5 linked regions of the Canis lupus familiaris genome follow. The main gene of each other region encodes a partner of the protein of the gene in region 4 in a complex. Links are inferred from orthologs where the notes say so. Each region holds a gene or a part of one and is shown on either strand. Other genes may lie near its edges. The genes, in order: RPTOR, RHEB, FKBP3, MTOR and DEPTOR.

Region 1 (5,789 bases), on a different chromosome or scaffold from region 4:
CCCCCCCCCGCCTCCCCTTCCCCTCCCCTGGGCAGCCCCCCAGGCTTTGACCCTGCCTCCTCCCCTCCAGCCGCGTCATGACGTACCGGGAGCACACGGCCTGGGTGGTGAAGGCCTACCTCCAGAAGCACCCCGAGGGCCACATCATGAGCGTGAGGTAACGAGCACGAAATATTTATGAGACGTTTTGCTGTAAAAACAGTATTTTCTCCTCCATTTAAAATATGTCCCTGGTATTTAAACAGCTGGGAAAGGGTGGCATTTCCGGGCAGTAATCAACCTCCGCTCTGGGACCGGCCGGAAAGCTCAGGGCCGGTGGGAGGGCAGGGACACACTGGGCCTCCAGCTGCAGAGCCGTGCCCGCTGGCGACGGGAGGCTTGCTCCGTGGGGGCTGGCGGGGTGTGCCCGGGAGCCGGTGGGCCTCTTCCGGCCCTTTGCTGCGGGATCTCTGCGTGGAGTAGCCGTCTGCCCGTAAATTCATTTCTGCTGCCCGGTAAATCCCGTGCTGAGAGCAGCGAATATTTATTTGCCCGTTAAAGGGACAGCAAAATGTGATTTACTGTCACAGAGCCACCATTGCTCCAAGAGGTGCTCTCGGCCTTGTTCGGAGTATTAAAGCAGAACATAGCTCTCGGCACGACACCCGCCGGAGCCCGAGGGCGGGAAGGAGGGGCTCCAGGGGCCACGTGCCGCCCCGCGGCCTCCCCGCCTCCCTGCCCCCCCTCCCATCCCTTAACTGCATCCCTGGCTGCACGAAATCTAATCTCCGGGACTGGAAATGAAACCCATAACTCACACACACACACACACACACACACACACCCCCCGTGTCTTTGCTTACGCTGCTCCGCGCCTGGGCCGCAGGGCCTGGTCGGGCTCTGGTGGGGAGTCTGGGGCTCGGGGCCGGTGGGGCGGGCTCATGCTCGGCCTCAGGGGCCAGCCGGCCTTGGCCTTGAGCAGTGCGTGTGCACACGGGCCCCGACGGTGACCCTTTCCCGGCAGTGTCAACGGGGACGTGCGTTTCTTCGACCCTCGGATGCCAGAGTCTGTGAACGTCCTTCAGATCGTGAAGGGGCTCACGGCCCTCGACATCCACCCCCAGGCAAACCTGATCGCCTGGTAGGTACCAACCCTGAGGGAAAATGAGAGGCCTCTCCTGGCCCGACCCTCTCAGAGCACCACAGTCAGCCAGAGCACCACAGTCAGCCTCGGGCCTCCATGTAAACAGCCGGCGCCGTCCCCCATGCCTGGGAAGCAGTGCTCTTTGGAGCCACATTATTGTGGGGACCCTCGTGCCTGGGTGATGGGCGGCCAGGGCAGCCCGGTGTCTGGGACGGTGCCGTGTGGGGGGAGGGGCCACCGCCCAGCTTCTCTGCCCTGCCCTGCTTCCGCCCCGGCGGGAGGCTAACCCCGGACCTCCTTGTGCGCAGCGGCTCCATGAATCAGTTCACGGCCATCTACAGCGGGAACGGGGAGCTCATCAACCACATCAAGTACTACGACGGGTTCATGGGCCAGCGCGTCGGGGCCATCAGCTGCCTGGCCTTCCACCCGCACTGGGTCTGTGTTCCCACACCCGGGGCTCGGGGCACTCGGGGCGGGGGGACAGGGGACAGAGGGGGCATGCGGGCAGGTGGGACTGCAGCCGGGCCCGCCCCACACCACCTTGTCCCATGTCCAAGAAGGTTGAGAAACAGGATCTTGTCAGGGCATAGGGTCTCCAGGGGTCACGGCCCCCAAACTGCCTCTAAAAGCAGCACCACATTCCTGCATCAGGCAGGGCGTCGTGGGCTGCACAGACATGAGGCAGCCCACTCTTCGTCACCTTTGGGCCTGCACTGATGCCGCCCCTGCAGAAGCCTCGCAGTGAGGAGGGTGCTGGGCATCCTCACCCAGCCCGTGGGCCCCGGGGAGGAGCAGCCCAGATCTGTGCTCATCCCTTACGGCCGCTCCACGAGTCTGTGGGCTCCGCCAGAGGCCCCCAGGCAGTGTGGGGCTCTCAGCCTGGACGCACGGCGCTGGGTTCGCAGAACCATCCCCACAGGGAGCCGTGAGGGCCCCGCATCCCTGTGGCAGGCTGTGGGGCCTCTGCCGAGAGCCGCAGCGGGGTGGGGATGAGGAAGCTGCACCGCGCCCTCCCGCCCGCCCGCCTGCCCGCTCACCTGCCCTGCTCTCCTCGCAGCCTCACCTGGCCGTGGGCAGCAACGACTACTACATCTCCGTGTACTCCGTGGAGAAGCGTGCCAGATAGCAGGCGCCCCCCCACCCCCCCACCAGGCCTCCGTGTACATACTGGATCCACCGCACCACCCTGAACACTGGTCCTGACCTGCTGCCAGGGGCTCCCGGAGGCCCCTCGCTGTCTGTCTGTCCGTCCGTCTGTGGTCACTGTCATGCCCAGGAGCCCAGGGAAGGGGCCTCTGGTGGAGTCCTGCTGTGTGACAGCCCAAGGACCGTCGCAGACATCCCAGCACCCTTCCCGTCCTGTTTTGCTTCTGAGATTTTTAAAGGGGGAAACGCACTGGTTCTGTTTTGCGAGGACCCAGCATTGACTCCAGGAAAGCTCCGAGACGGAAGCCGGCTCCCCGGGGCTCAGCCACCCCGGCGGATGGGGGAGCTCTGGGGCTCATCGCGGGTCTCTGGGCCGGGCATCCCCCTGGCTGCAAGCCACACGCTCCGGGGGGGCATTTCCAAGCAGGCTGGGAGGGGGCATATTCAAGAGAGCCGTACATGTGGAAGGAGAGAGCCCGAGCCTCCCGCCAACCCCCAGTCCTCGCCCACTGGGGGCCTTCACGGCCAGACGGTGTGAGGCTGGGCACCGCTCCTCCGCCACGCAGCCCACCCCCTGGCACGGGCCCCTCTCACCACAGACCCGCTAGCAGGAGGGGCCTGTGGCTTTGGACAGGTGAGGCAGGTCCTTGGTGATCCGGCCACCACTGGGCCACGGGGCCTGTTTGTCTCTAGTGCTGCCCCTGGGCAGGTGCAGTGACAGCCACCTGGGCCTGTGGCCTCCCACACGGGTGTACACGTGTGCGCAGGGCCCACGGTCTCCACACCCGAGCCCGCACATGCGTGTCCACGTGTGGCCCCGTGGCCTCCCTGCCGGCACGTGCATCACACACGTGATGCCCCCCAGCAGGGGGCGGCTGGGGACCCAGGGGCGTCTGTGGTAAACAGTGGCCCGTGTTTGCCGCCACTCGCTGGTGCAGCAGAAGTGTGTATCTTGCAATGAGTAACGCAGAAGTCTCGTGGTGGTCGCTTCAGGGTGTGCCCGGGCGTCTGCACGTCTGCACACATGGGTGTGCGCGTGTCCTCACAGCCCGTGCAGACCTCAGGGCCATGGGGACCGTTTCCCCACGAAGGACAGCCGCGGTGTGCTGACCGATGACAGCGCTTGTAAAACAAAACCCCAATGATGAGATTCTGAAAAGCATTTTTCCATTTTCCTTGGGAATCACGGTTACCGTGGAAGAGTGAGCTGGCTTAACCACCCCGCCGCCAGCGGCCTCGCCGGAAGGAGGGCCCCTGCCCGGGACGACCCCCTGCAGCGGGCCCGGGGCGGGCGGGGCGCGGGCCGGTCTAACCGGGGCCCACGCGAAAATCCAATCATGGAGTTAACCGGGGCTCCACAGAGCACGCCCTGAAGGTTCGTTTATCTCTATTTATTTTACCAAATGAGAATTGCGGAGTGAAAGCGCGAGCGATCGGCAACTGTTCATGACAATAAACAAGTGCAGAGGTGACCGGCTGCGGCCTGGTGGCTCGGCCCGGGGGCGGGGGCGGGGGCGGGGCCTTCTGTGGGAGGGGCATGGAGGGCTGGCGCCGCGGGGGTGGGGGAGACCTGGGTGTGCCCCGGTCGCCCGAGGCCTGCTTGACCTCCACTCCAGCAGGGCGGGGCGCACCCCAGGTCCGGGGGCGGGCGCAGGGGCACAGGGGTGCAGTGCGGGGAGGCTCCAGCGCCCTCGTGTCGCCCCGCGGCCAGCACAGACCAGGGGCCACCTGAGTCCCAGGACGCAAGGTCCCCATCCCTGCCGCGCGGGCTTCCCGGAGGAAGCGCTGGTTGGCTCCCGGGGTGAGGGGTTCTGGGGGGATCGTGTGCGTCCTTGTTCTGGAAGGAGGCTCGGGACAGGGTCCCCAGGGCAGCCGGCAGGTGGGCTGCAGCAAGAGGCAGGCAGGTAAGAAAGGGGCCAGGTCACGGGAGCAGCACCATGGGTCCCCAGATCGATGACACCCCCGTGCAGCGGGACCCCCAAACCGTACCCGGTCTGGAGACGCCAGGCAAGGCCGCTGCAGCAGGATCCCAGGGGACACTCCATTTCCCCCTTTCCCAGCTTCCAGGAGCTGCCGGCGTCCAGGCTCCGGGCCCGTGTCCCGTGTCCCCGTGGCTCTGACGCTGACCCTCCGCCTCCTCTTCCACTGTGAAGGCCCAGGGGTGTGGGGGCGGGGGGACAGTCTCCAACACCCCGAAGCCCAGTGCCCTGGAGGCACGGCTGGAGCAGGACTCGGACATCCTTAGGGGCTTTAATCCGCCCACTGCTCCCTCTGTCTACAAGGCAGGGGCCCCTCTGGCCAGAGGAGGGGGCGGCGGCGGGAATGGGAAGGAAAGCGTCTATGCTGCCACGGTGGGGAGAAGGGGTCGGGAGGGGCAGAGGCTGCACCTGCTGTGCTGGGGGGCGTCGCCATGGAAACCCGGGGCCTGAGCACTGCAGCTCCGGCTCCCCGCGGTGACGTCCGTGTTGTGCAGGAAGGACACCCAGCCCCCCCCCCCCCCCCCCCCCCCCCGCGCCCGTGCTTCCCCACAGAAAGTATCTTCCTACCAACAGACGAAAAGTAATATTTTCCGGCTCCAAGACTTGCATGCAAAGCCGGTGCTCACGGACACGCTCCCACAGGCAGAGGTGGCCACCGGGGGCGCCAGGGGCCCTGCAGTCGACTCGCCCCCAGCCCCAGTCCGGCGGCAGGGCAGGGAGGGCTGCGGCCTCCGGGTGGGCGTCAGGTGGGGTCGTCCTGCGGGGCCCCCTGGGGAGGCCCCATCCTGCTGGGGGCCTCCGAGGAGCGTCCCCTGGGCTGTCCTCACCGGGTGCTGACTGCGCCCGTCAGCACACCCAGGTGCAGAGGCCCCCGCCGGGTGCCCAGGCCGCCGCCACCTGTCCCCGCGGGCACACAGGCGCGCCCGGTGATGCCAGTGTCGGGCCCTGCACGGAGAGTGGGGAGAGGGCCCTGGGGATTCATCCGAGACCAGCCCGGGGGCAGCCCGGCCACCCACGGTGCCCAGAGAGCAGGGGTCAGCGCTCAGCCCCCATGGCCTCGTCCTTGTCAAGGTTTCCACCAGGGGCTTGACCTCAGGGCTTTGCTAGGACCTGGGCCACCCGCTCCTCCTCCTGGGGGGGACCCCTCCGGGTGGCCCGGCCACGGACAGGCTCTAAGCCGCCGAGCGGTCAGCTCCTTGGCTGACGGGTTGTGGGCCGTGGGGCAGCAGCATCCCCGCTTGTCAGCAGCAGGACGAGGAAAGGCCCTTTGGCTCCACTGGGTGCGGCGCGGCGACATGGGCCAAGGGCAGCCCCCGCGCCCCCCGCCCACCCAGCGCATCCTGGGGTGCAGCCGTCCCGAGCCCCCCGCCGCCCGCGGCAGCCTCCCCACGGCGCCCTGCGCACCCGGGACCCTCCGGTCAAACCCCCGGGCGCCTTCCCGCAGAACTGGGGGGACCGCCCCTCCGACGCACGGGGACGACGTGCGAGGGGCCGCGAGGTCGCCAGGCATAATGAGAAGGCAGACCTTGGGGGGCTCG
Region 2 (5,811 bases), on a different chromosome or scaffold from region 4:
CTACAGTCAACAAATGTGAACCTCTCTGCTGTATCTGCTTGCCTTCTCCCGGTCCATTCACCCATCTACCCCCATTTGAAAGTAAGTCACAGATATTATGAAACTTGACCCCTAAATACTTTGGTCTGCATTTCCTAAGAATACAGATATTTTCCTCATGATTCCAATATTATCACTTCCTCAAAGGAAATTAACATTTTACTAATATATGCAGAACATAATAAAATCTCTCCAATAGACCAAAAATGTCTTTTATACTAGGGTTTTCAGAACCAGATTCCAATCAAAGTTAACACACAGACTGTAATCCAGTCTGTACCCTTCCCCAGAATGCTTTATTATGCTTCAGTCATGCACGAGGCCTTCCCTTCCCACCCACTGGAAAACATGGTGTAGAGAACAGCGCACCAAATAGAGGTTAGATATAAACTTCAGTCCTAGTTCTTATGCCACATAAACCGAGTGATCTTATATAAAACTCCTTTACTTCTCTCTTTGGATCTCAAACGCACTTTCAAAATGAGACAGTGCAACTGAATGATCTTAAGGACAGATTAGACACCCAATAAATGTTTGATTTAATTCCATTAGGAAATGAAGATATTTCTTACTCTCTCAACTCTTGGTATCTGAATTCTTACTACCTGAACTCAGAAGCTGAGCAGAGTCACACGAATCTCTTGTGACCTGGCACACGGGAACCAATCACACAGATTTAATATTCCTCATTATTATTATTATGTTTAAAAGATTTTATTTTATTTTATTTACTCATGAGAGATACAGAGTGAGAGAGAGAGAGAGAGGCAGAGGGAGAAGCAGGCTCCATGCAGGGAGCCCAAAGTGGGACTCAATCCCGGGTCTCCAGGATCAGGCCCTGGGCTGTAGGTGGTGCTAAACCGCTGTGCCACCAGGGCTGCCCAATATTCCTCATTATTATCTGAACCCAGGGACAAAGGGATGTGACTGCCAAGGGGTACCTGGGTTGACTGAGAACCTGGCAGACAGGCATGCCCATAGCATCTGCCATGCAGGACATTATGGAGAACAGAGGTAAATGACATATCTTGGATTTTGGGATGAATTGAGGGGGATGAGAGGATGAGAGAAAAGGACCTTGAGAGCCAGGGGAAAAGTGGCTGAGGTGGGGAGAGTGGGCCTCAATCCTTACCCAGAAGGTACCAGTCACCCTGACTGAACAGTTTCCTCACACACTTGAATACCAGCTACTCTGATTTGAGGATCAAACAAGAGAATATGTGGAAAATACTTTAAAGACTGTAAAGCACTACACGGATATAAGTGGTGAGTCAGAGAGAGGATAGCTGAGGCTGGAGGTGGCCTGAGGGGAGGGCACACTCGGCCAGTGCCCCCAGTGGGGAAGGCGGCGGGATGAGCACCAGTGTCGCCCGACCTCCATGTTGCTAAGGGCTTTGAGCCTGTTCTCTAGACAACAGGCAACCCACCGACAGTCCTAGCAGAGGGTAATGCCATCTGATGCGCAGCTTTAACGAGTTTAGTGGCAGTGCAGAAACAGGAGAGAGAAGACAGAGGCAGGAGGGGAGGCTGGCCATGTGAGGCCTCCACAGATAAAGCCAACAGCCTTCCCGGGCGGTGCTCTTGCAGGAACATCTGCAGGGCTGACGTGGGCACAGATGCCTGCAACATGGTTCTTAATAGTTTCAATGGTACAAACAATATATATATGGCATCCGTTTCATCCTACAGAGAAAAGGGGCTTTGGTGCCGGCACAGAACTATTGCCAAAGTGATGGAAGATCATTCTCCTTTCTTTTCTATGCCTGGACTTATTTCTGTGCCAGCCTTTAATACAAACAAAAATAATAATATACGTTCACAAAGCAGCATTTCCTTTACTCCCAACTTCTGTTTATCCTACAAATATTCCAGATCCCATTGTAAGCAGGATCTTGATGGCAACTCAAAGGCCAACTCTGAGATGGTGGAAGGAAGGACATAGGTGAGGTGGGACAGAAGGACACAGATGAGGTGGAGCAGGTGGGGCACGGCTGCCTAAGGGTACACAGGCCCAGAGCTGACGGAGGCAGCACAAGAGGAGTTCTACACAATACGTACCTGATTTTCTTTAGCAGAAGATTCCAAAAAAGCGGCGTTCCAAGACTCTGCTAACGCTTTCCCTTCTTCATAACTGATCACCCTAGAGGAAAAAGAAAATTCTAATTAAAGGACTGTACTCTCTTTTTAGGAAAACATCTGTAAATATTAGTGAACCAGGCTCCACTTTTATCATTTTTTTTCCTTGCAAAGCAGAGAAATGCTCTCTGCTCAATATTATCATCCAGCGTGGACCACAGAGGGGCACTTTAACAAGGGCTGGGTTGGGGAACGGGACAGATGTGTCCTTATGGCGTTACCCATGCTGCGGCAGGCCCTCAGCTCGGAGAACACAACTGTGCTTCCAGCACACTGTGACACAGACTGTTTCATAGTGTGGGGTGGGGGTTGTCAGCACCTGAGGACCAGACAGTTGTGAAGGGGCCCTCGGCCCAATGTTGCTGTGCATCCTCCTCTCCAGCCAGGACTCCACAGCAGCAAGGGCTTTGCTCCCGCTCAAGTATCTAATCCTCACCACGGGACTCAGAAACTGTTTGTTGAATATATGAGTGCCTCTGTGATCTCTTTAGGCCACTTTACACAAAATGTCAGAAGATAATTTCCTACCACATTTGCTCCCTCTTTTCTAGAGGAAACACTTGTCAGGGTGGGTGAGGTTTTATATTGCAGTTTTGCTTCTGCTTGGGTACAACAATCACCACCACATTTCTGAACATAGACATGTTACATCTAAGAATAGTCTCACCATGAGAATAATTACAAAAGATACTGCAGTGCCTAGACCATTTCAGACTTGATTTTATAAATCAGTAATTATTCAGAAGTTACATACCTTTCCATATGTAGGTCTTTCTTATTCCCAACCAACATAATAGGTATTCTAGTAATGTAAGACAAAAAAGCCAAAGGTAACTAGTCAGTGCCAGATCTCATTGTTCAGAAGACACAAGTATAATGAGCATATCTAACAAAAGAGAAACTATTACTACTTACTGCACTTTCCCCACCATGTCCAACAATTTGCCATGAATAACTTTAATCACTTCAAAACTGTAAAAGAGAAGCATGAAATCAGACATCCATCTTAGTGTTGGTGTTTTTAAATGTTTGTTACATAATGTTTCTCGTGGGAAAACTACATAATGTCACTGGCTTACCATTTTAATATAAAATAAACTGAAAAAAAAAAAAACTGAACACAAAGAATTCCTTAATTTTTTCCTACAAATCATTTTTCACATGTGTATGTATCTGACACTGAGTAAACCTTACCAAGACTATTCAAAATGAAATAGGTGCAATATTAAATGGGAAAGTCTAACACTTGGCTGACAAACCATATAAACACAAATTTTAATCTCTGAATAGACATTTGTAGAATGTTCTTTACCTAGAGGGCCCTAGCAGTCAGCCCGTGTTCCATATTAATATGATGAAAAACACACAAAAAGCAAATCAATTTATATAATTCCCATTTCCATTAGCAGAAAAGCTCAGATCATGTCAAATCACTATTTATCTAGGCAGTTGGAGGTAAGAAATAGAGTTTTTACTCAATCAGTGTAAGAGAGCATCTACTGGGATATCTTTTTTCCCTTAACAACCTGTTTGCTCCATAAGACAACATAATGAAAAACATTTAGCTTGGTAAGTCAGATTGTTACTATAACCAATTCCATCACGGTCCTTTAAAAAGAATGAGTGTCTTTCATGCGGAGCAAATAAACTCAAGCAAGCAGGAGGAGGGAGTCCTACCTTTTGATTGATGTAACAGAATACACAAGAATATAACCATTAATATCTATGGAGTATGTCTGAGGAAAGATGGAGTATTCATCCTGTGGGAGAAAAAATAATTCTATGTGAGTAAAATTCTTCATGTAGCGTAACAAGCAATCTGTACCCCAAAGTTCTTCACACATGACCTGGTCAAAGAGATCAAAGTAAACAAAAAGTGGATTACATTTTCTTCCAGAAACACAGCCTATACACTTAAGACTTAAGTGTATAGGCTGGTTTGGAGCTGATAATTGTTTTCAGCCAACATGTGAAAATGACTGGCTATTCTAAGACCTTTGGGGAGAAGGCTGATAATTTCTGCAATTCCTGGTGAAAGAGGATGGAAGGAATGACAAGACAACAGGTCCTGTGATCTTATAGGAGGAGAAGAGCTATAGCAGTTCTTTTAAGGTTCTAAGTCTAGAACCTTAGATCTCATGGAAAATTCACCAGTGCTTCTGTTTTTTTCCATAAATCTGTATTCTCCTATCTGAAATTGTTATATCCTTACCAAACCCATTCTCTGCAAGTGAGTCACAATGGCCCAAGGGCCAGTCTATTGGTCACTAGTGGGTTACCCCCAGCACTTGAGAGCGCAAGAAGAGAGGACAGAATCAAAAAGGTAAAGTCAGTGTACCCAGACTTCTGGGGATCAAATCAGTTATTTATTGAGCAACGTTAGGTATTAAAAACAAAGGTACACATTACATAACACATCAGTACCCAGTTTCATAAAGCAGCTTTAGGAAACTCAAAACTCGGCTTCAGATACAGAATTATTGAAGTATACAAAAGGAATACTATCAGTGCGGTTCCTTATAACATGCCACAGCCTGGTATGAAACATTTTATTCTCCCTTGAAATATAATTGTTGGACTCCTGGGTGGCTCAGTGGTTTAGGGTCTGCCTTCGGCTCAGGGCGTGATCCTGGGGGCGAGGGGGGGATCTCCTTGGGGAGCTTGTTTCTCCCTCTGCCTATGTCTCTGCTTCTCTCTGTGTCTCATAAATAAATAAAATCTTAAAAAAATAAAAATAAAAAAGAAATATAATTGTCAACATACCATGTAGCCCAAGCACTATTCTAAACAATCAGGTCACATCATCATTATATTAAGTAACTGTCTCTATTAACTTTGCAATTCCACAGTATGGTTACAACTAATGCTTATGAGTGCCCTGAATTACTGCCCCAAATTATTACTATCTACCATAGCAAAGTGTCTTTAAAAAATAAAAATCAAAGAGAAATTAAGTATTACTATCAGCTCTTTGATATCAATAATAATCATTCATCAGAAGGTAGCATTTCTACATCTTAGAGCTCACTACTACACATGCAAAATAAAACCTTTGTTTTCATTATCAGTTTCCTTATTAGTTTCATTAAGTTGAGTTCTTTTGAGAACACATTTTTGTTAATGGAATGAGAGGTCTTTCTACCCAGATTAAGAACAAAATTCCAAATGATTTTAGTCACACCAGCTGAGCTACAGTAGATCTCGAGTTCAAATCACCTTTTCCATGAAGAGAAAACATGGAAGTAAAGAAATGAGTCATCATATTTCAGAGGCATGATGCAAACCACTGCTAGTTAGAAAGTATCATGCGGGGAAAGCTTCCCCAGCTCTAAGAGCAACCAAAAAGGAAAAAATTCCTAGGAATAAACTCAAGAAAAGTGTACGATCCATCTGAGGAAAATCTTAAAATACTCCCAAGAGATCAAATGGAGTGAATAGAACAGTGAGTCATGGTCCTCAGCAAGACCGTGCAGCTTATCAAAGTCTCCCCTGATCCATCCTAAATTAACATATAAATGTAAAGAATCCTGATAAAAAGTATATTTTCTGAGAAAGAGCAATTGTAGACGCAGCTGGGTGAAACCATAAAGCTACTTATTTAAATTAAAAGAAGTATCTACTAGTTCATGAGTGAAG
Region 3 (5,811 bases), on a different chromosome or scaffold from region 4:
TACAAAAACAGCTTTGTTCAGTGCTCTATTACATACTCTTGTACACTGCATTGGTCAGTACAGCTCAATCCTACCTTCCCCTTTTCTCAAAGTTCCCTTCTATTATCTCTCACATGTAAAGGCAGGTAAAAAAGCATGCTTATGTGTGAAAAGTTTTTCTGGTTTTTGAACCTTGGTTGTGAGAAGTGAAAAGGCCCAGAACAAACTTCTGCTTCTATAAGGTACTGCAGTGAAATGGATCTTTTACCTTTCTCAATTGTGTGTAAGTGATAAAACAACTATGTGACATTTTTTAAGAATCTTAAAACAGGGATCTCTGGTTGGTGCAGCGGTTTGGCGCCTGCCTTTGGCCCAGGGCGCGATCCTGGAGACCCGGGATCGAATTCCACATCAGGCTCCCGGTGCATGGAGCCTGCTTCTCCCTCTGCCTATGTCTCTGCCTCTCTCTCTCTATCATAAGTAAATAAAAATTAAAAAAAAAAAATCTTAAAACATAAATTTAGAAAGCCAAACTTTCTGATGAATTACTTTATGATGAAAAAATAAAGAGGGGTAGGCATGAAGAAAATATTTGAGCCTCTATTACATTATATACTGTAGTCATGCTCATTTAATTGTTTAGCAACCCTGAGGAAGAATGTACTGTTGTCCATATCTGAAACCCAGAAAACTTGTGTCAGATCAGTTAACAGTGATAGCACCTGATTTGTCAGAATCCAAAGACAAATGTTTTCATCATATCCCAAATCCTACTTATGATACCATAGCAGATACAGCATGTACCAGAATATCTATTGATTCATTGCCATTTTTTACTTACTCCTCGGATAACTTTGCCTATTCCAACCTTAAAACTTAAAGGCTTGGCATTTTTCTTCTTCTTTGAACCTGTAAAACAAATTTTCCTTATAATGCATGATGAAATTAAGTTCCAGTGGAAAAACAGTGATTTGTCTTTAAACTGATTTTAGAACTTACCATATTATGCATTTGAAAAGAAATAAAAATTCAGAAAGTTAACTCATCAAGACAATTCTGTATGTAAAAATAGTTATGGTCCCCAAAGCAGGAAGAGGGTAAAGACCTATGTTTACACTACTAAAACACCACACTATTCTGCCTTTTATGTTAAATACAAAAGCCTCAACTATAGGACATTAACGAAGTTTAGACTAAGCTTTTTTTTTTTGGCTTCCCAACAACCAAGATTTATTCCCCCCGGCCAATAATCACAGGTGCAAAGGACTTTTGGAAAAAATTGACAGCCAAGAGAAAGGTATAACCAACTGTTCATGTACCACACAAATATTTTGCAATGCCTTAAAGCTAAAAAGATAGGATTACATTTACACTTACTGGTTTGAATATTAGTATCAAAAACAGTCCCATCCTGTAGTGTTCCTGTATACCAGCAGTGAACAACATCTCCCTTTTTGGGAAAGTTGGTTTTATCTCCTTTTTTAAGGACAGATTTTGTATATTTTGGTGGACCCTAAAAACAAACAAAAACAATACATAGAGTTAGTAACTCACATCCTTCTATGGTGGACGACAAAGAGAATTCTTATACAGCCAACTGTGAACCAAGTCTCGGCACAGAGTTTCACAGATTTGGTTAACTCTGTTGCCTCTGGTTCACCTCTGAGTTAAAAAAATTCATCTAATTGTTGTCTGTGGTGAGAATATTAGTAAGTAGCCTATCTATAATTTAATTTCTTTTTTTTTTTTTTAATATTTGATTTATTCATTCAAGAGAGATACACACAGAGGCAGAGACAGAGGCAGAGAGAGAAGCAGGCTCCATGCAGGGAGCCTGATGTGGGACTCTATCCTGGGACTCCAGGATCATGCCCTGGGCCGAAGGCAGACGCCCAACCACTGAGCCACTCAGGTGTCCCTCTATAATTTAATTTCAAGTAACTTCTAGCTACTTTGGAAACCAATGTTCTTTTGACAAAATTGTTATTCAACAAATGATAAAATAAATCCTATTACTTTCCAAGGTTAGAAATATAATTACTATTTAATTCCTATAAAATCATAAGGCATTAAATAACGCATTGTGACTTTTTTTTCCCCAAAGATTTGAGTTGTTTAGCACCAATACTAGACATTACTAAATATTTTTACTATATCCAATTAGAACGAATATAGTAATACTCCATTTGTTTCTGAACTTGAAAGTAAGTTCACACGAGGAACAGAATTATCTATAGAAATTACTCTAACAGGCATATTTCCTAAAACAAAGCAGGATTATCAGTTTTTTAAAGAATGCTAAAGGCTAATAGGTGGTAATTCATATAGGTAAGAAAAGCAGGGTTTTTTTTGCTGTACTTTAAGTATCAGTTTATTACTGATATTTACATTTCAGTTTATCACACATACTATTTATGTGTGAAGAGGAAGAGGGAGAGGAAGAAGCAGACTCCCTGCTGAGCTGGAAGCCTGACATGGGGGTTGATCCCAGCACTTGGAGATTATGATCTGAGCCGAAGGCAGATGCCCAACCATCTGAGCCACCCAGGCACCCCATAACTCTTTTTTTCTTAACCTCATAATGATACACAATCTGCTGCCTCATACCTTTTTATTGTAATTTTCTGGAAGGTAAACTATTTTGCCAATTGCTTTTGCAATCCTTCAATAATTATTATACCTTTACTTACCTTAGTAGCTGCTGAATATCTTCCCAGTACATATAACATTTATCAAATAATATTAGACATGATAAACCTCAAAATTGCTTTATTGTGTGTATATATCCATGAACATGAAATTCTGTTTTTCAACCAAGAGAGTATCCTGTGAACTAACTAGCTTTAGGTATATAAACTTCTATAATTGTATACTTGAACTTACACTCTATCTACAAATATCCAAATGCTATAGTACTTCATCATTAGGTGACATGTCTTCATAAGACCTAAAGAATCAAATTATTATCACTGATACTAAGACTGTTAGGAAGGAGTTATAGCTTAGTTATTAGCAAGATATTATCAGAAGTGGGCAAGATTATTATCAATTTAGCTCTTTTGTGGCTGTTCTAACTGCTGTCCTTGGCTCTACTGAGGCTGTCCCTTTGCAGAAATGGTTTTATCTAGTTCTTCAAACCTTTGTACCAAAATGTAAGACCTATGTTGGGAAAGATGAGACAGAAGACTCCACACCCTGTTGCCAAGCCTGGACTATTTCTATTGCCAAGGATACCATGTACATTAGAAAAAGCTAAAAATAATCACAGTGAAACGGCTTTCACTCAGTCAAACTTGGCTATAGAAGCAGGACTTAAAATGGCTTTGGAAGCTCAGGAGTTCTAGTCAGACATAGAGGAAATATAAAATACAAAGCTAGAGGTATTTTATAGAAAAAGCTTATTAACCATAAAGCACTGGTTCTTACATGTTTTTCTTTTTTTTTCTTCCCTGATTCAGTACACCTAAGGGAGATAACACACCCCAAATCAGTGTTTGGCTCACTCAAAGTAGTCATACTCAACCACCCCTTATTATGAGAAATCAGTGCTATAAACTTTCCTCAAATTCACATGAGAAATAAAATAATATTACATACAAACCTCATCCAGAGTCTCTTCACACTTGGTTTCTTTGGGTTTATCTTCATTAAGCTTCACATTTTTCACCTGCTCAGACACTTTACTTATACTTTCAGTACCTTTGAAACGCTGCAAGGAAAATGTTCTAATGTTTACCATATTCGGGACAGGCTAAAGACTAGAAGGGATATCTAGATTTTCAACTTTTCAATTTAATGAACACCTGCATTTGAATATAGGCTATGTAACTCAAATACAAATAAATGGAAACTAAGAACAAAGGAAAAATCTTATGTTAAGCATTTTAATCAACAAATTATGAACCTCAAAGCATCTCATAATATAAATGCTCAAAAGGGATCTTTAGAAAGGACAACTCAGTGGCATTGGGTGTTTGACTCTTGGTTTCAGCTACGGTCATGACTTCAGGGTCTTGGCATTCAGCCCCATGTTGGGCTCCATGCTCATGGGGAGTCTGGGATTCTCTCGGTCTCCCCTCACTTGTGCTCTCTCTCTTTAAAACGAATAAATAAATACTTAAAAAGGAAAAAGATTTAGAAAGGCCAACTCAAGACTCAGATATGAATACTATCACATAATTCCTTAATAAAGACTCTGTTGTGGAAGATAGTTATTTCATAGTGAACAAATATTGGAGAATTTTTTAAAAATTTGGTTTTCTAAAGGCTCAGCCTAAATCTAAGATTCAAAATTCATTAATGAAATAGAATTTACTTTGGAGTCTTAACTTTTTGGTAGCCCTTTTGTTGTTTTAATTTAAGCTACAGGGAATTACTATTTTTTTTAAATTTCTTTGAGAGAGAGTGAGCACAGACACATGCGAGTGTGGGGAGGGGCAGAGGAAAAGAGTCTCAAGCAGATTCTCCAAAGAACAGGTAGCCCAGTGCAGGGTTTGATGTCCAGACCCTGAGATCACCACCTGAGCCGAAATCAAGAGTCTGATGCTCAACCTACTGAGCCACCAAGGTATCCTGGGAATTATTTTTTAAAATTTGGTTCCTTTCAAAAACATAATATCCTGCTATACTGCAGATTAGCTTTGCTAGATTTGATAGTCCACTTATAGTTAGGAAAAACTCCAGGTGGAAAAAATTAAATAAATTCTGCAAATAAATTTAAAAGTTCTTTTCTCAAACACAAATATCTAAACCAATATTCTGGTAATATGATGTAATAATACTCACCTTACTTTCAAAAAGATGGTTGTAGGCTGTAACCAAATGGTCCTTGTTAGCTGTCTTGGCCACATTTTTAATGTTTCCTAATAACTTATGTTCTGCAAGAAACTATAAGGAAAAAAAGCTGGTTAGTCAAAATAATCTCCCTCATGTAATAAGGGTCTAAACTTTAGAAAATGACCTCTTATGTGAACAATTGTATCGTTAATAAAACTACTACTGATGGAAAAAATAAATATATTTTCTGCCCTACTTCATAACAAAAAAGATCGAAGGAAGATTTAAAAAATACACTATAAAGATTATTGACAAGACTGGAACTATAATATTACATAGGAGTCACACTGTTGCATACTAATGCTCTTCCCATTACAGAACTCACAGAACATTTATATAGCAAGCACACTTTGGTAACTGGATGATGCTGGTACTGGCAGGATGTTACTTGGCCATGGCCATGGGACCCTTTAACCATGTTAGGCATAGCTATCTTGACAAATGTGTAACCCATTCTTGACAGACTGGGAAGCACTGTTACAAAATGCTGGATATATGGTGGTTAAGTGTGCGGGCTGAGGAGTTAGACCACCTGAATCAAAATCCTAGCTATCTGATCTTAGTCAAAGGACAAGCTTTCCTAAAAACTTAGTTTCCATATCATAGTGGAAGAATAATAACAGCATCTATCTCAGAGAATGGTTTTAAGGATAAACACAATAATCCATTTAATGCCTTTCATATTACAGTCTATTGCATGGTGAGAACTCAATAAATATTAGTTGTTAGGACTAATAACAATGTACTTCATAATTCAAAGTAACAGAATCCCACTTCTCTTAAATAAAATCAGCAAAAACAGTTAAAACCAAGTTGGCAAATTGACACCAAAATACTACTTCTGAAATATCGAGTTATCAAAATGTAACATCATCTCAAAATCATGTAATGTGGGGATTTGAAAAATGTCTTCTTCTTATTTTTTTCTGCTTCCTTTTCTGCCTTCTGGTCCTTGATTCCTCATTTTTGTTATCTTCATAAAGCTGGCCCCTGGCA
Region 4 (5,811 bases):
CCTGTGTCTCTGCCTCTCTCTCTCTCTCTCTCTACGTCTATCATAAATAAATAAATCTTTAAAAAAAAAAAAAACAAACCACGCAGTATGGGCCCAATCCCCTCTCTGACAAGGAGGGTTATTTCTTCTCAAGAACAGACAAACGTCTTGTGCAGCGCCGTAGGTACCTGATTTCCTTCCCCTTAGCCCTGCCCTCACTGCTGTGCTCTACGACCTGAGCCGTCAGATTCCGCAGCTGAAGAAGGACATCCAGGATGGGCTCCTGAAGATGCTGTCCCTGGTCCTGATGCACAAACCCCTCCGGCACCCGGGCATGCCCAAGGGCCTGGCCCACCAGCTAGCTTCCCCCGGCCTCACAGCCCTCCCCGAGGCCAGCGATGTGGGCAGCATTACTCTTGCCCTGCGAACTCTTGGCAGCTTTGAGTTTGAAGGTAAGGAATCACAGCCATTCTTGCCAAGATAGCGAGTGTTCCCGGGAACCCCAAGAAAAGAATGAGGGCTCCTAGAATTCCGGTGTCTTGCTGGGGATCCTGGAGACACCGGGAGCTGATCCTGTAGTGGCTCAGCCTCCAAGCTCTTTGCATGTATTGTTGATGCCTCTTCGTTTCTTTCTTCCATCCTGAGTTTGAGGGCAGATGGTGTTCAGGGAAATTATGCATTGATCAAGGAATTAATGCTTCAGAGATGAGAAGGTCAGAGATGGAGCCCCCCGAATCCCTCCCCTTGTCCATGAAGCTGAGATGGTATTTAATGCTTTAAAATGTTTAAGCTGGAGACTTTTAGGTGTTTCATTCCTATGGCAATGTGATTTTCAAGAGTGCTGTACTGTGTAGTTCTGTTTGGAGTTCTAAGCTGCAGATAAACCCACATCAGTGCCCTAGGGAGATTTATTCAGGAGAGAAAAAATGGGTACTTTTGAAATTTAAGATCATGTAGGTGGTATTGCTCAAGACTGCGGGGAAACAAGCAAGTACAAAAAGTCTGAACGTGCCATCTGAATGCTTACAGCCGTCTGTGGTTTCCCTCTTGTAGTTCGTCCCTTGCATTGATCAGCACCCAGGATAATTTATGTCTAATGAATAGAAAGTAGCTATATTTAAACCCAGCCTACATCAGACTCTCTTTTGGTATTCAAATCTGGGGACTAAAATAGACAAGGTAAATTTGGTCAAGAATTGTTCTTACTCTCTGGGAATATAAAAGTTTGGGTCAAAATAAAACAGAATCATTCATTCTTTGAAGGAAATAAAGAAAGGATTAAGATGGGGGGGTGGGAGGATGCCTTTTTTCTGTCTCTCAGCTCCTCCGCCTCCCTTCCGCCTCTGTGCTGACTGGAAACCCATTTGTTGCCTTTTTTTAAAGAGAAGAATTCTGGGTCAATATCTTGTGGAAAATTGAATTCGTAACCATGAAATGAAAAATGCAGCTAGCAAGTTGTAGACCTACCAACCAAAGCCGCAGCGTTTATTTTGTTTTCTCTCTGCCTCTGTATCCAGGCCACTCTCTGACCCAGTTTGTCCGCCACTGTGCGGATCATTTCCTAAACAGCGAGCACAAGGAGATCCGCATGGAAGCTGCCCGCACCTGCTCCCGCCTGCTCACGCCCTCCGTCCACCTCATCAGTGGCCACGCTCATGTGGTCAGCCAGACTGCAGTGCAAGTGGTGGCAGACGTGCTCAGCAAACTGCTTGTGGTTGGGATAACAGATCCTGGTACGGTTTATGAGACAGGAGCAGTCCGTGCGCCTGGGGCAGTTGGAATTAGCCAGTTTCATTGCATGGCTCTCTAGAGACTCAGCCTCAGCAAGCCGATGTCCAGCTGATGTCTCTGCCAGAGCATTAGGCTTGGCTACTCTACCCTACTGGTGTAAAAGGATCTGTCTTTAGTTCTGTTGTCTTTGCTCCTATGAGTAGAGGAAAAGCTGACAGGTTAGATGAGAGAAAGGTACATGGCATCCTCTCACTAGGCCAGAGGCAGTGGGTCAGAAACTGGGAAATGACCAGAGGGATGATGGCATTGAAGAGGCGTTCAAAGGCGAAATTGCTCTTGCAGACCCTGACATCCGCTACTGTGTCTTGGCGTCCCTGGATGAGCGCTTTGATGCACACCTGGCCCAGGCAGAGAATTTGCAGGCCCTGTTTGTGGCCCTGAACGACCAGGTGTTTGAGATCCGGGAGCTGGCCATCTGCACCGTGGGCCGGCTCAGTAGCATGAACCCGGCCTTCGTCATGCCTTTCCTGCGCAAGATGCTCATCCAGGTAATGGTGTGACCTAGAGGCAATGGGGAAGAGCCGTTTGGGGAAAGACAGATGAGGACAAGGAAGGGGAGAAAGATCGAGATACCTGACAAAAGCCCTGTTTGGCTCCAAGGGTCCATGTTTTCCCAGCTTCTTGGCAGCATGACCCCAGGGGGCCTCTTATCCCAGGCGAACGTCTTCTGCAGCTCTTTTCTTGTTCCTGGCAAGTCACCAGAGGTCCCACTCCTTGGCCCTCTCCACTCGGTCTGCTGCACATGGTGTCAGTTTTCCTAGCACCTCTCTGTCCTTCCACTCTCCTGCTCTTGCTGAGTCCAGGTCAGGCACAGAGGCCAGGTTTGGGAACAGTTCCAGCACTGCTTCTTGTAGTCATTGCCCTGGTCTGTGGTCCCTGGCTTTGGTTCATAAATCACGTCAGAGGCCAAACTAAGCTGCTGGACTAGAGTCAAAGATTGAGATTGACCTTGCTGCTCTGTCTATTAGGAATTTTTTTTTAAGTAGGCTCCACACTGAACGTGGGGCTCGAGCTCGCAACCCCAAGATCAAGAGCTGTATGCTCTACCGACTGAGCCAGCCAGGCGCCCCAGGATCTGAGCTAAAACCTGGCTCCCCAGTTTTTGTCTCCACCTACCCCATAAATTGTCTGGCCTCCTTGTGATTGGTGCATGGTCCAATCCTTCCTGCCTCGAGTTATTTCCACCCAGCTCTTCTGGGTCTCACTGTGGCTCACCCAGTCCTTTCCTGTCCCGACTCCACCCTGTCTCTACCTCCTCCTCTGCTTCCTGACCCACCCACATAAAGAACATAAACACAGAAAAATGATTAACACATGTAACTTTCATCCTAGAGAAACATTGTGTATTCACAATCCATCGAAGGTAAAGTGACTATTAAGTCATATTATTAGTCAATAAATTAGAGGATTAAATTATGTTGGAATCTGTTTCTTCAAGTATTGGCCAAATCCTGCTTTAAAGCATGATATAGAAATATCTCCTAATGAGAATATTAGCATGTTCGTTCAATCAATAGATGTTTGGACATCTACCACGTTCTAGGTGCTGCCGGGCCCTGGGAACATCCGTGAACAAGCCAGCCGTGGCCTGTGTCCTCAAGAAGGTTACAATAAACTGTTGGGCTATCAGGCCATCTCATTGTTCTGATTTTGGAGAATGTGAAGCACCGTTAAATGAATTTACCGTGTACTGAGCTTAGCCCTTGAAACTCCGAAGTTTTTAATTTTCCTTGTTTTCAAATGTGGATACACACCTTCCCAAGTCACCTTGCACATTTTCATGCCTTGGTAAGGGACATTGCCCAAATGTGCTTTAAGTGGCCTTTTCTGATGCCTGGATCATCAGAGTGGGCATTGGGTATTGTGAGGGCACAGTGATGCTCTCGGCTCTGGAAGTGAATTTGGGGATCTTTGATTTGGCCCTTGGTGCTCCAGAGATCTGTGCTCTCCTCGCAAATCCTGTTTCCTCCCTGCCAGCCATCTCCTGGCTCTTGTGGGTCCATTCTCAGCATCCCTCTCTCTCACTGCTGTCTTCTGTGACGGAGGAAAACAGACTGCCAGGGGATCCAGAAAGTTAGGATTATTAAATGAATAACCTAAGACAAAATATATTATTAAATCATAGACTCCTCTGGGTAGAGAGTTAGCATCTACTTTTCTCACGGTCCAGAGATTTCCTTCTGGCAACTTCAGCTCGCCAGAAATCTGTCTATATTAGGTTGTTTATATCTGTGTCACTATGAGTAGGACATGTTGATTTGCTGGTATTTTAAGGATGTCAGAACAAACATGTTATTCCTTTTCATTAAGGTCCAAGGGGATTTGATTGATAGAATCCCTCCTATTTGGGTTTATCTAGATGTCCCTGAAACCAATACTGAGTATTAATATTTCTTTCAACAGCGTAGCTGTTCTAACTGTTCTCTGGTCCTTTTGTCATTATTTATAGGCTCTTAGTGATTTGCTGCCCAAAGATTTTCATTCCTTGTTTCTGCAGACTCCTGCTCTCACTGTCCCTGTTGGTTTTCTTAGTTCCCTGTGCCGCACTGTGAAAGCCATGCTCCGGGACGACTATGGGACTGTGGGGGCGGGGACTGGTTTCCCACAGTCCTTCCCACTTTTGCTGTGTCCCCGACTGTTTGCCTCCGTGGAGTATTCAACGGCTACTTGATCCGCGGTCCAGTTCTGGTTCCTCCCTCTAGCTTCTTCTTCAACACACCGTTCCTCTCTAGAGCTCCCTCTACCGCCTGGGCTTTCTTCCCTACAGATTCTGACAGAGCTGGAGCACAGCGGTATTGGAAGAATCAAAGAGCAGAGTGCCCGCATGCTGGGGCACCTGGTCTCCAATGCCCCCCGGCTCATCCGCCCCTACATGGAGCCCATCCTGAAGGTAACTCATGGCAGCTGGAGACACTGGCACTTTCTCTCCAGGTCACCCTGTGTCACCTCCTTTGGGACAATGGAAGTGTTTCGATAGGTAGCATCTTCGGCCCCAGGCTCAGGGTCAAGGGCCACATGAAGCACTCTCAGTGGAAAATCAGCAAAAATCTCACCAGTTGACGGAAGGGCTCCCCTTATGAGAGATAAGATGCAGTGCTTCGGGCACATGATCAGATGCGCTTGGAAAGAAGTAGGTAGATAATGGGATAAAATAGTTCCCTCAAAGGGAAGAAAAAATGAGCTTTAAAGTCTGAATGTGTTAGAGGCATGTGAAATCTTTCAAAACGTAGGTGAATCTGGGCAAATGATCAGAGATACCATTTGAGGAGGCACAAGAAATGTTTTTAAATCATGGTGTTTCTCAGCTCTCTCATGTGTCTACGTGGGCTCACTATGGAGAAAAGTTTTAGAATCCACATTCTGTAGAAATCCTGGATTCATAAATAACAGTAATTAAGCTACAGTTGAAATGGTCTTTCGGGAATTTTACTTACGTAAAAGGTTTCTAGTAGATCCTGTTCTGCATTCATTTTATCATACCTTCTTTTCATAGGCTTTAATTTTGAAACTGAAAGATCCAGACCCTGATCCAAACCCAGGTGTGATCAACAATGTCTTGGCTACAATTGGAGAATTGGCTCAGGTAAGGGGACAGCAGCTTTTTTCCATAGGATGGAAAGAGTACTGTTTAGCCTCCAAGGAAATCAAAGTACTTCTTCATTCCATCATTTCTCATCTTACCTCCCACCTTCTTTTTCGTTTTGCAGGTTAGTGGCCTAGAGATGAGGAAGTGGGTGGATGAACTCTTTATTATCATCATGGACATGCTCCAGGACTCCTCTCTGTTGGCCAAAAGGCAGGTGAGTACTCCTTCCAGACTGAGCAGAGCAGTCCCCTGCGAGGCCTGGGCCCTTGCCTCTCTTCGTCACTTAGTGTCCCCAGCCAGTGCCTGACCCAGAGCTTGACACCTAGTGGGTACTCAGAAGTATGTGTTATGGAAAATGAAGAAAGACCTGGAGTCAGAATTAGCTGTCATCCTGACCGGGAGTCGCTCAGTAAGTTTCAGGGCTGACCCTGCCATTTCCTCCAGATAACAGAAAA
Region 5 (5,811 bases), on a different chromosome or scaffold from region 4:
AAATACCTAAAGAGGCTGTTGTGCTAGTTGCCATTACTGATAAATGGGTTAATATGATTCTCAGTGGGTTGTGTTAGATTATTTTCCTAGTGATTTACAGCGTTTTAAATTTCACATTTCAAAAAAAATTGCCAAGAATGAGTTCTTAAAAAAGAATTTTTATCTCTTTTTTACCATCATTTCATAAATTTCAGGACAAAAATGTACACAGCATGTTGTTAACCTAACTCAACAAATGTGAGTTGAATAAATGGATAAATGACTGAACAACAAAAAATTGTGATGATATCATTCAGAATAAAGGAAAGGCTTTACATGAAATATACTTAGTTTTAGGAAAAACTAGATGCATTGTCCTTAATACTCCAATTTCCCATACCCCCAGAAAACTCTTCACATACTATGAAACTACCCCTTGGTTTAGGGAGAATTGTTGTGTAGACTAGCCACTAACTAGTTTAAAGTTAGCAGTGTTCTGGACATGCTGCTTATCCATCTGACTACCCATCACTGAATATTCACTGCCAGTCTTTTACTAGGCACCTACACTGAGCCAAACACATGGTAGTCTAGGGTTCCAGGATGCCAGAATGATGAAGACGCAGTCTGAGCCTTTAAGCAGAGTGACTTAGCTGGGAGAAAGAGATGAGCTCTCCCCACCACCAAAACAAACAGATATATGGTCTCTATTATTTTTGCAGCTCTCTGTGAGTCTATAATTATTTCAAAATCAAAAGTTAAAAAATGAATGGACATATGGTCATGGGAGTAGCACTTTGCTGGGCATGGGGACACATGACGACATGAAACCATGAAACAATGAAACCCAGAGAGCCAGAGTTGAGTGGACAAAGGTAGAGAAGTGAACAGACAATGTGGGTACAGTATGGTAAGTGATCAGCTGGAGGTTAAATAGTGGCTCAGACAACACGAGGAAAAGTATGGCTTAGATTGGGGGTGAGGTCAGGCAAAGCAGCCCCAGGGGAACTGGTTAGCCAATTTTTAAAGTACATGGCACGTGGAAAGAATTTGGAATGGTGTGTGGACTACAAGCTCATGTGGCATCTGTAGAATTAAACTCTGTAGACTTTTGCCCCTATTGGATGGAGACTTCTGGCTGCAGTGCTCAGTGGCCAGGATGCCAGGCATGCTCATCTGTTGTGTCTCCACTGCAGTGTCCAACAAGCACCCATTTGTGGACAGCAACCTTCTCTACCAGTTCAGAATGAACTTCCGGCGGAGGCGCAGACTGATGGAGCTGCTCAATGAAAAATCTCCCTCCTCTCAGGAAACTCACGACAGCCCCTTCTGCCTGAGGAAGCAGAGCCATGACAATCGGAAATCTACCAGTTTTATGTCCGGTATGTCAGTTCCATTGTGTATCCAACCACTTGCATTTGTCTTCTGAGAAATAGTATAGTAATAACTCACCTTTGTGGAATGCTGTTCTCCAGCCCATTTTTATTTATTCATAACCCACCAGTATGAAAAAAAAAAAAAACCCAGCATGACCAAATTGTTCCTGGGCAGTCAATTTAGATGTCATGAAGACCGTCTTATAAAATTATGTCTTTGCATGATAGAAGGCTTCTTAAGTTCTCACTTTACCTTATTTACTTTTCATTTGTAAACAGTTCTTATATATCATTAATGATCCCGTTTTCTAAATCACAGCACTGAAAAGCTGTATGTTTTAATGGTGAGTAAAGACTTTTGAGGGCATATACAAGAAAAAGGCAATTAACTGATTGCCCATCCGTCATGAAGGGGTGATCCAGAGCAAAGAAAACTTGTGAAAAGCAAACACAGGAGCTCATAAAACCTAGGGTGTCACATGGAAGGTCAAATAGTCCTATTTTTACAATGATCCCTGACAGAAATGATGCTGACGGATGTTCACAAAGATAGCCCTACTCATCCAGAAAAAGTTAACTTGATGTCCCTTCTGTATAAGAAGCAGAGGTGCTCCAAGGGGTATCTTCAACTCCTCTGAAAATTTGGCATTGACCCAAGGAACTGGCTGGCCTCAGGTCTGGAAATTTGGGGTTTCACCTGAAACTCAGGGCACAGCGAGAATGTGTGTCTTGGTTATTTACAGCAGGTGGCAGTGAGAACACTCGTAGCTATATTGAGACTTTTCTGCACCCCTGGCCCTGAGCTAAGCTTGCTTGCATGAGTTTTCTTATTTAAATCTCACTATATCCTAAGAGGAAGGACTTTTCTTATCCTCATTTTATGGGTGGAGAAACTGAGACATGGATCAATGGAGGGGCTGACCCAAGGTCAGCCTAGACTTACACCAGTTCTGTATTAATTCCAATGCTTATGTTATATTGTCTCTACCCTGATCCCCCTCATCAGACACATCTAGGGTGGAAGAAAGAATGAAGCAAGAGCCCCTCAGGCAAAGTAAGCACTTACAGACGGTCAGGAGCCCAGCCTGTGCTCAGATACACACCAGTAGTGTGTCACCGTAGAGCTGTGGTCTTCTGCAAATGCAGAGTAACTGTTCATGTTCTTTCTAGCCCTGAGGCCTGCCTGTTTCTTGTGGGCACGAGAGACCCAAAAAGTGACAATGATGACAGGGATAGAGTGGCTGTGGTCACTATAAAAGCCAGCATTTACTTTGTGCTTCCCATGTTCCAGGCACTAAGCGGGTACTCTCCACGGCTTCCTTCATTTGGCCATACACCTTCTTCTCCTCTCCTTGTCGAGAGCCACTGACTCTGCAGGCAAAGAGGACCAGGTCAGAGCACTAAACTGCTGCCTCACATACACTGTCAGAGCTAAATATGTGTTATTATGTTCTAATCTCCTTCGTCCGTGGCTCTGGGTAGCTAGTGACATCATATTAAAATCAGGAGGCACTTATTATTACTGTTAATCCATTAAGTGTAGAGCCAGCAGTTGATTTATATCCTTCCTGGAACTGCTCAGCGCGGGCTCAACCGCTCTTGAAATAACCTTTTATGTGCCTGAGTACATCCCCTTACAGTATATGGCCCACTCCTCGTACCAGCCCCCTGAGATCACATTATTCCCACTTCACAGCTGGGGAAGTGGAGGCTGGGAGGCCTGTGCCTGAGTACGTGCCTGTACATTATATACACTACTCCCCCGACCAGCCCTGTGAGATCGCATTATTCCCACTTCACAGCTGGGGAAGTGGAGGCTCCGAGACCTGAAGCAAAGTGCCTGAGGTTGTGCCATCAGTGAGTGGCAGGTTGCCCTTCAAATTCTTGCTTCTCTGACTCAGAGGCCGGGTGCGTTTTCCTGGCGTGTGTGACTCGCCTGCCTCTATCTTGTGGCGGAAAGCCCACATGCTCCAGGGAACCAAAGCCACCATCCTCACGACCTTGTGTGTGTGTATGTGTTTCTGGCCCACGCAGTCAGCCCCAGCAAGGAGATCAAGATTGTGTCTGCGGTGCGGAGGAGCAGCATGAGCAGCTGCGGCAGCAGTGGCTACTTCAGCAGCAGCCCCACGCTCAGCAGCAGCCCCCCTGTGCTCTGCAACCCCAAGTCCGGTGAGTGACCAAAAGGCAGCCCCCATTTCTTTCTTTTTTTTTTTTTAATTTTTATTTATTTATGATAGTCACACAGAGAGAGAGAGAGGGAGAGGCAGAGACACAGGCAGAGGGAGAAGCAGGCTCCATGCACCGGGAGCCCGACGTGGGATTCGATCCCGGGTCTCCAGGATCGCGCCCTGGGCCAAAGGCAGGCGCCAAACCGCTGCGCCACCCAGGGATCCCGGCAGCCCCCATTTCTGACCATGACTGGGCAGAGGTGCAGGCTGGGTGGGTTCCTTGGGCAGCAGATTCTCTGATGGGGGTGGGGGAGGTAGGGGCAACTAATACGTGGCAGTGTTGTTATGGCTACTCTGGGGGCCAACACCTGTTGAACGCAAGGGAAGCACGTAGGTTTGGGCAGAGGGAGAATCAGGCTGCCCCACTACCCCTGAAGGGAGCTCTGGAGTCGGGGTGGCCCTTCAGAGTTGTCCCAACTGGTGGCTGAGGTGGCCAGGCCTTTCAGCCCTCCTGTTGACCAGTTGTTAGGTGTTGGCTGCCCCTGGGAGGAGGGCATGACCTTAGGTAAGGCAGCTCTCTTCAGAGGTGGTTCCAAAGACAGTTGAAGGTATCAGCAGTTAGCAACTGGGAGAAGCCCCTCAGTTCTGAAGAGGGATTGAGCAGGTGCAAAGACCTTTTGGGTTCCCATATCTCCCAAAGAAGAGGCACAGATCTGTGCAAACCCAACTCTCTCTGAAATTGAATCTTGGTGCCTTGCAGTTTCAAATCCTCCTAATCAACCTCTGTGGCCTTTACGTTCAAAAACAAAAAACAAAAAACAAAAACAAACAAACAAACAAAAAAACAAAAAGGCTAGGCACAAAGACTGTTGATGAGCTTGTGCTTAGAAACAGTTCTTCCTTGACCCAATCAATTCTTCAGCCTGTGGGAACTCATCACTCACGGATCCTACTAGCTCCTCACTGCTCCTTACCTACCTCTCCCAAGATTCGATTGCATGGTCCATCATGAAAATAATGATTGCTTTGAAAACACCCTCACTCCCTTCATTTAGTGCTCTGTCCACCCTTAGTCTAGTCTATCACCTTCAGGGAAGGGGCTTTGTTCCTTTGGCTCATGCTGTGCCCTCCTCACTGCACTTGGGGATACAAAGATGAAAGGTTGTGATTCCTTCCCTTGGTGAAAATATCATCTCTCTGTGGGGAGAACATGCTAGTGAGACTAAGGGCAAATAGATGTTCAAAGGGCTTTAAAAGAAAATTATTATCTAAGACCATTATCTAGGAAAGTGAGTATTTCACTTATTTTAACATTTTTCTGCTACCTTCTGGAGGTTTAGCTGGAAGAATAAAATCATAACCTGCAACATATGAATGAAGAAACTTGCTTCCACACTGACTCTAGCTGGAAAATCATTGAGCACCCATATGCAACTGGGTTTTTCAATTCATGGAACACTGCTGTTAAGGTATAATGAGAAAGGAGAACTGTATTCTTAGAAATAGGCTCTTTGAAACCCCGATGGAAATCTGACAGGTGTCCCTAAAGTTAGAAGCAGAAGGGTGCAGTGTTAGGAAAGGGCCAGCTATGCTAAAGCCACTTTCCTTCTTTTTTTTTTTTTTTTTTTTTTGAAAGGAACTTAACTTTTTATTTTTTTATTTTTTTTTATTTTTTATTTTTTATTGGTGTTCAATTTACTAACATACAGAATAACCCCCAGTGCCCGTCACCCATTCACTCCCACCCCCCGCCCTCCTCCCCTTCCACCACCCCTAGTTCGTTTCCCAGAGTTAGCAGTCTTTACGTTCTGTCTCCCTTTCTGATATTTCCCACACATTTCTTCTCCCTTCCCTTATATTCCCTTTCACTATTATTTATATTCCCCAAATGAATGAGAACATATAATGTTTGTCCTTCTCCGACTGGCTTATTTCACTCAGCATAATACCCTCCAGTTCCATCCACGTTGAAGCAAATGGTGGGTATTTGTCATTTCTAATAGCTGAGTAATATTCCATTGTATACAATGGAATATTACTTTCCTTCTTTTGATTGCATACAATGGTAGAAAAAGAACAAAGTGTTAATTACGTAAATGAGCTACGCATCCACCTTTACTGAGGTGGGTTTTGCATCCTTTCCTCTTTCTCCTTGCCTATAGGCTCAAAGGGAAAAGTTTGCTGATAAAGCAGGCATCAAGGAAAGGTCAGGTTGCCTTTTTTGGGTCTCAACTGTGGTTGCCTCAATTGTCTTAATCGTGGTTTGTAAATCCTAGGTCTTACCCATA

What was found.
Region 1: the proteins of MTOR (region 4) and RPTOR are in contact, whole or in part, in a cryo-EM structure (PDB 6BCU), measured with the Homo sapiens proteins. The link is inferred for Canis lupus familiaris from reciprocal best matches to the Homo sapiens genes MTOR and RPTOR. Residues at the interface, in NP_001373429.1 of Homo sapiens: His597, Thr600, Pro632, Val644, Ser645, Gln646, Thr647, Ala648, Val649, Ala653, His686, Ala688, Gln689, Glu691, Met721, Asn722, Pro723, Ala724, Phe725, Met727, Pro728, Phe729, Arg731, Lys732, Leu734, Ile735, Leu738, Thr739, His743, Tyr771; in NP_065812.1 of Homo sapiens: Phe278, Lys282, Cys283, Ser285, Leu286, Pro288, Gln380, Ala381, Asp383, Leu384, Asp387, Glu411, Gln412, Thr414, Ala415, Val418, Trp419, Thr421, Met422, Arg427, Asn428, Glu431, Gln432, Lys973, Ile974, Asp979, Leu980, Glu981, Ser982, Lys986.
Region 2: the proteins of MTOR (region 4) and RHEB are in contact, whole or in part, in a cryo-EM structure (PDB 6BCU), measured with the Homo sapiens proteins. The link is inferred for Canis lupus familiaris from reciprocal best matches to the Homo sapiens genes MTOR and RHEB. Residues at the interface, in NP_001373429.1 of Homo sapiens: Arg62, His69, Glu73, Ala101, Thr102, Ile104, Gly105, Arg106, Asn109, Tyr110, Arg112, Asn113, Phe140, Glu143, Tyr144, Phe147, Glu154, Arg160, Thr969, Gln973, Phe977, Lys980, Glu1010, Phe1011, Gln1014, Met1018, Ser1050, Thr1051, Asn1264, Lys1293; in NP_005605.1 of Homo sapiens: Lys5, Ser6, Arg7, Lys8, Arg15, Pro37, Ile39, Glu40, Thr42, Gln57, Ala62, Asp65, Tyr67, Ile69, Gln72, Thr73, Ser75, Ile76, Asp77, Asn79, Asp105, Met106, Val107, Gly108, Lys109, Val110, Ile112.
Region 3: the proteins of MTOR (region 4) and FKBP3 are in contact, whole or in part, in a crystal structure (PDB 5GPG), measured with the Homo sapiens proteins. The link is inferred for Canis lupus familiaris from reciprocal best matches to the Homo sapiens genes MTOR and FKBP3. Residues at the interface, in NP_001373429.1 of Homo sapiens: Glu2032, Tyr2038, Phe2039, Gly2040, Arg2042, Tyr2088, Val2094, Leu2097, Tyr2105, His2106, Arg2109; in NP_002004.1 of Homo sapiens: Lys160, Pro161, Leu162, Ser163, Lys170, Tyr198, Lys201, Gly202, Gln203, Pro204, Asp205, Ala206.
Region 5: the proteins of MTOR (region 4) and DEPTOR are in contact, whole or in part, in a cryo-EM structure (PDB 7PEC), measured with the Homo sapiens proteins. The link is inferred for Canis lupus familiaris from reciprocal best matches to the Homo sapiens genes MTOR and DEPTOR. Residues at the interface, in NP_001373429.1 of Homo sapiens: Met304, Gly305, Phe306, His1494, Cys1498, Trp1501, Gln1525, Asp1527, Ser1528, Glu1530, Glu1531, Cys1534, Met1535, Ile1536, Arg1538, Arg1547, Gln1554, Leu1556, Leu1559, Gln1562, Cys1563, Lys1566, Arg1683, Leu1685, Asp1686, His1687, Lys1710, Ile1711, Phe1714, Gln1715; in NP_073620.2 of Homo sapiens: Arg54, His56, Leu57, Lys58, Thr59, Tyr60, Pro61, Val101, Arg116, Lys119, Asp121, Gly122, Thr123, Phe124, Lys131, Ala132, Arg135, Arg138, Lys142, Glu177, Gly178, Glu179, Glu185, Cys304, Asn305, Lys307, Gly335, Asp336, Ala337, Val338.

Annotation. Positions count from the first base shown.
Region 1 is NC_049230.1:1,850,001-1,855,789, reverse strand, and holds the end of RPTOR (regulatory-associated protein of mTOR), read left to right. Parts: intron 1-70; coding exon 71-157; intron 158-1,003; coding exon 1,004-1,120; intron 1,121-1,431; coding exon 1,432-1,561; intron 1,562-2,183; coding exon 2,184-2,252; 3' UTR 2,253-3,484; coding exon of another isoform or gene 3,485-3,580; 3' UTR 3,581-3,744; downstream 3,745-5,789. Other genes in the region: translation initiation factor IF-2-like, read right to left, coding at 3,485-3,580, 3,873-4,156, 4,262-4,511. UniProt on the Homo sapiens protein: Component of the mechanistic target of rapamycin complex 1 (mTORC1), an evolutionarily conserved central nutrient sensor that stimulates anabolic reactions and macromolecule biosynthesis to promote cellular biomass generation and growth.
Region 2 is NC_049237.1:16,170,294-16,176,104, forward strand, and holds part of RHEB (GTP-binding protein Rheb), read right to left. Parts: intron 3,936-5,811; coding exon 3,853-3,935; intron 3,148-3,852; coding exon 3,091-3,147; intron 2,978-3,090; coding exon 2,930-2,977; intron 2,180-2,929; coding exon 2,098-2,179; intron 1-2,097. UniProt on the Homo sapiens protein: Small GTPase that acts as an allosteric activator of the canonical mTORC1 complex, an evolutionarily conserved central nutrient sensor that stimulates anabolic reactions and macromolecule biosynthesis to promote cellular biomass generation and growth.
Region 3 is NC_049229.1:22,776,892-22,782,702, forward strand, and holds part of FKBP3 (peptidyl-prolyl cis-trans isomerase FKBP3), read right to left. Parts: intron 4,867-5,811; coding exon 4,765-4,866; intron 3,689-4,764; coding exon 3,581-3,688; intron 1,493-3,580; coding exon 1,357-1,492; intron 889-1,356; coding exon 821-888; intron 1-820. UniProt on the Homo sapiens protein: FK506- and rapamycin-binding proteins (FKBPs) constitute a family of receptors for the two immunosuppressants which inhibit T-cell proliferation by arresting two distinct cytoplasmic signal transmission pathways. PPIases accelerate the folding of proteins.
Region 4 is NC_049223.1:84,313,224-84,319,034, forward strand, and holds part of MTOR (serine/threonine-protein kinase mTOR), read left to right. Parts: intron 1-186; coding exon 187-431; intron 432-1,496; coding exon 1,497-1,712; intron 1,713-2,052; coding exon 2,053-2,258; intron 2,259-4,537; coding exon 4,538-4,660; intron 4,661-5,263; coding exon 5,264-5,353; intron 5,354-5,477; coding exon 5,478-5,570; intron 5,571-5,811. UniProt on the Homo sapiens protein: Serine/threonine protein kinase which is a central regulator of cellular metabolism, growth and survival in response to hormones, growth factors, nutrients, energy and stress signals.
Region 5 is NC_049234.1:19,334,969-19,340,779, forward strand, and holds part of DEPTOR (DEP domain-containing mTOR-interacting protein), read left to right. Parts: intron 1-1,175; coding exon 1,176-1,361; intron 1,362-3,389; coding exon 3,390-3,524; intron 3,525-5,811. UniProt on the Homo sapiens protein: Negative regulator of the mTORC1 and mTORC2 complexes: inhibits the protein kinase activity of MTOR, thereby inactivating both complexes. DEPTOR inhibits mTORC1 and mTORC2 to induce autophagy.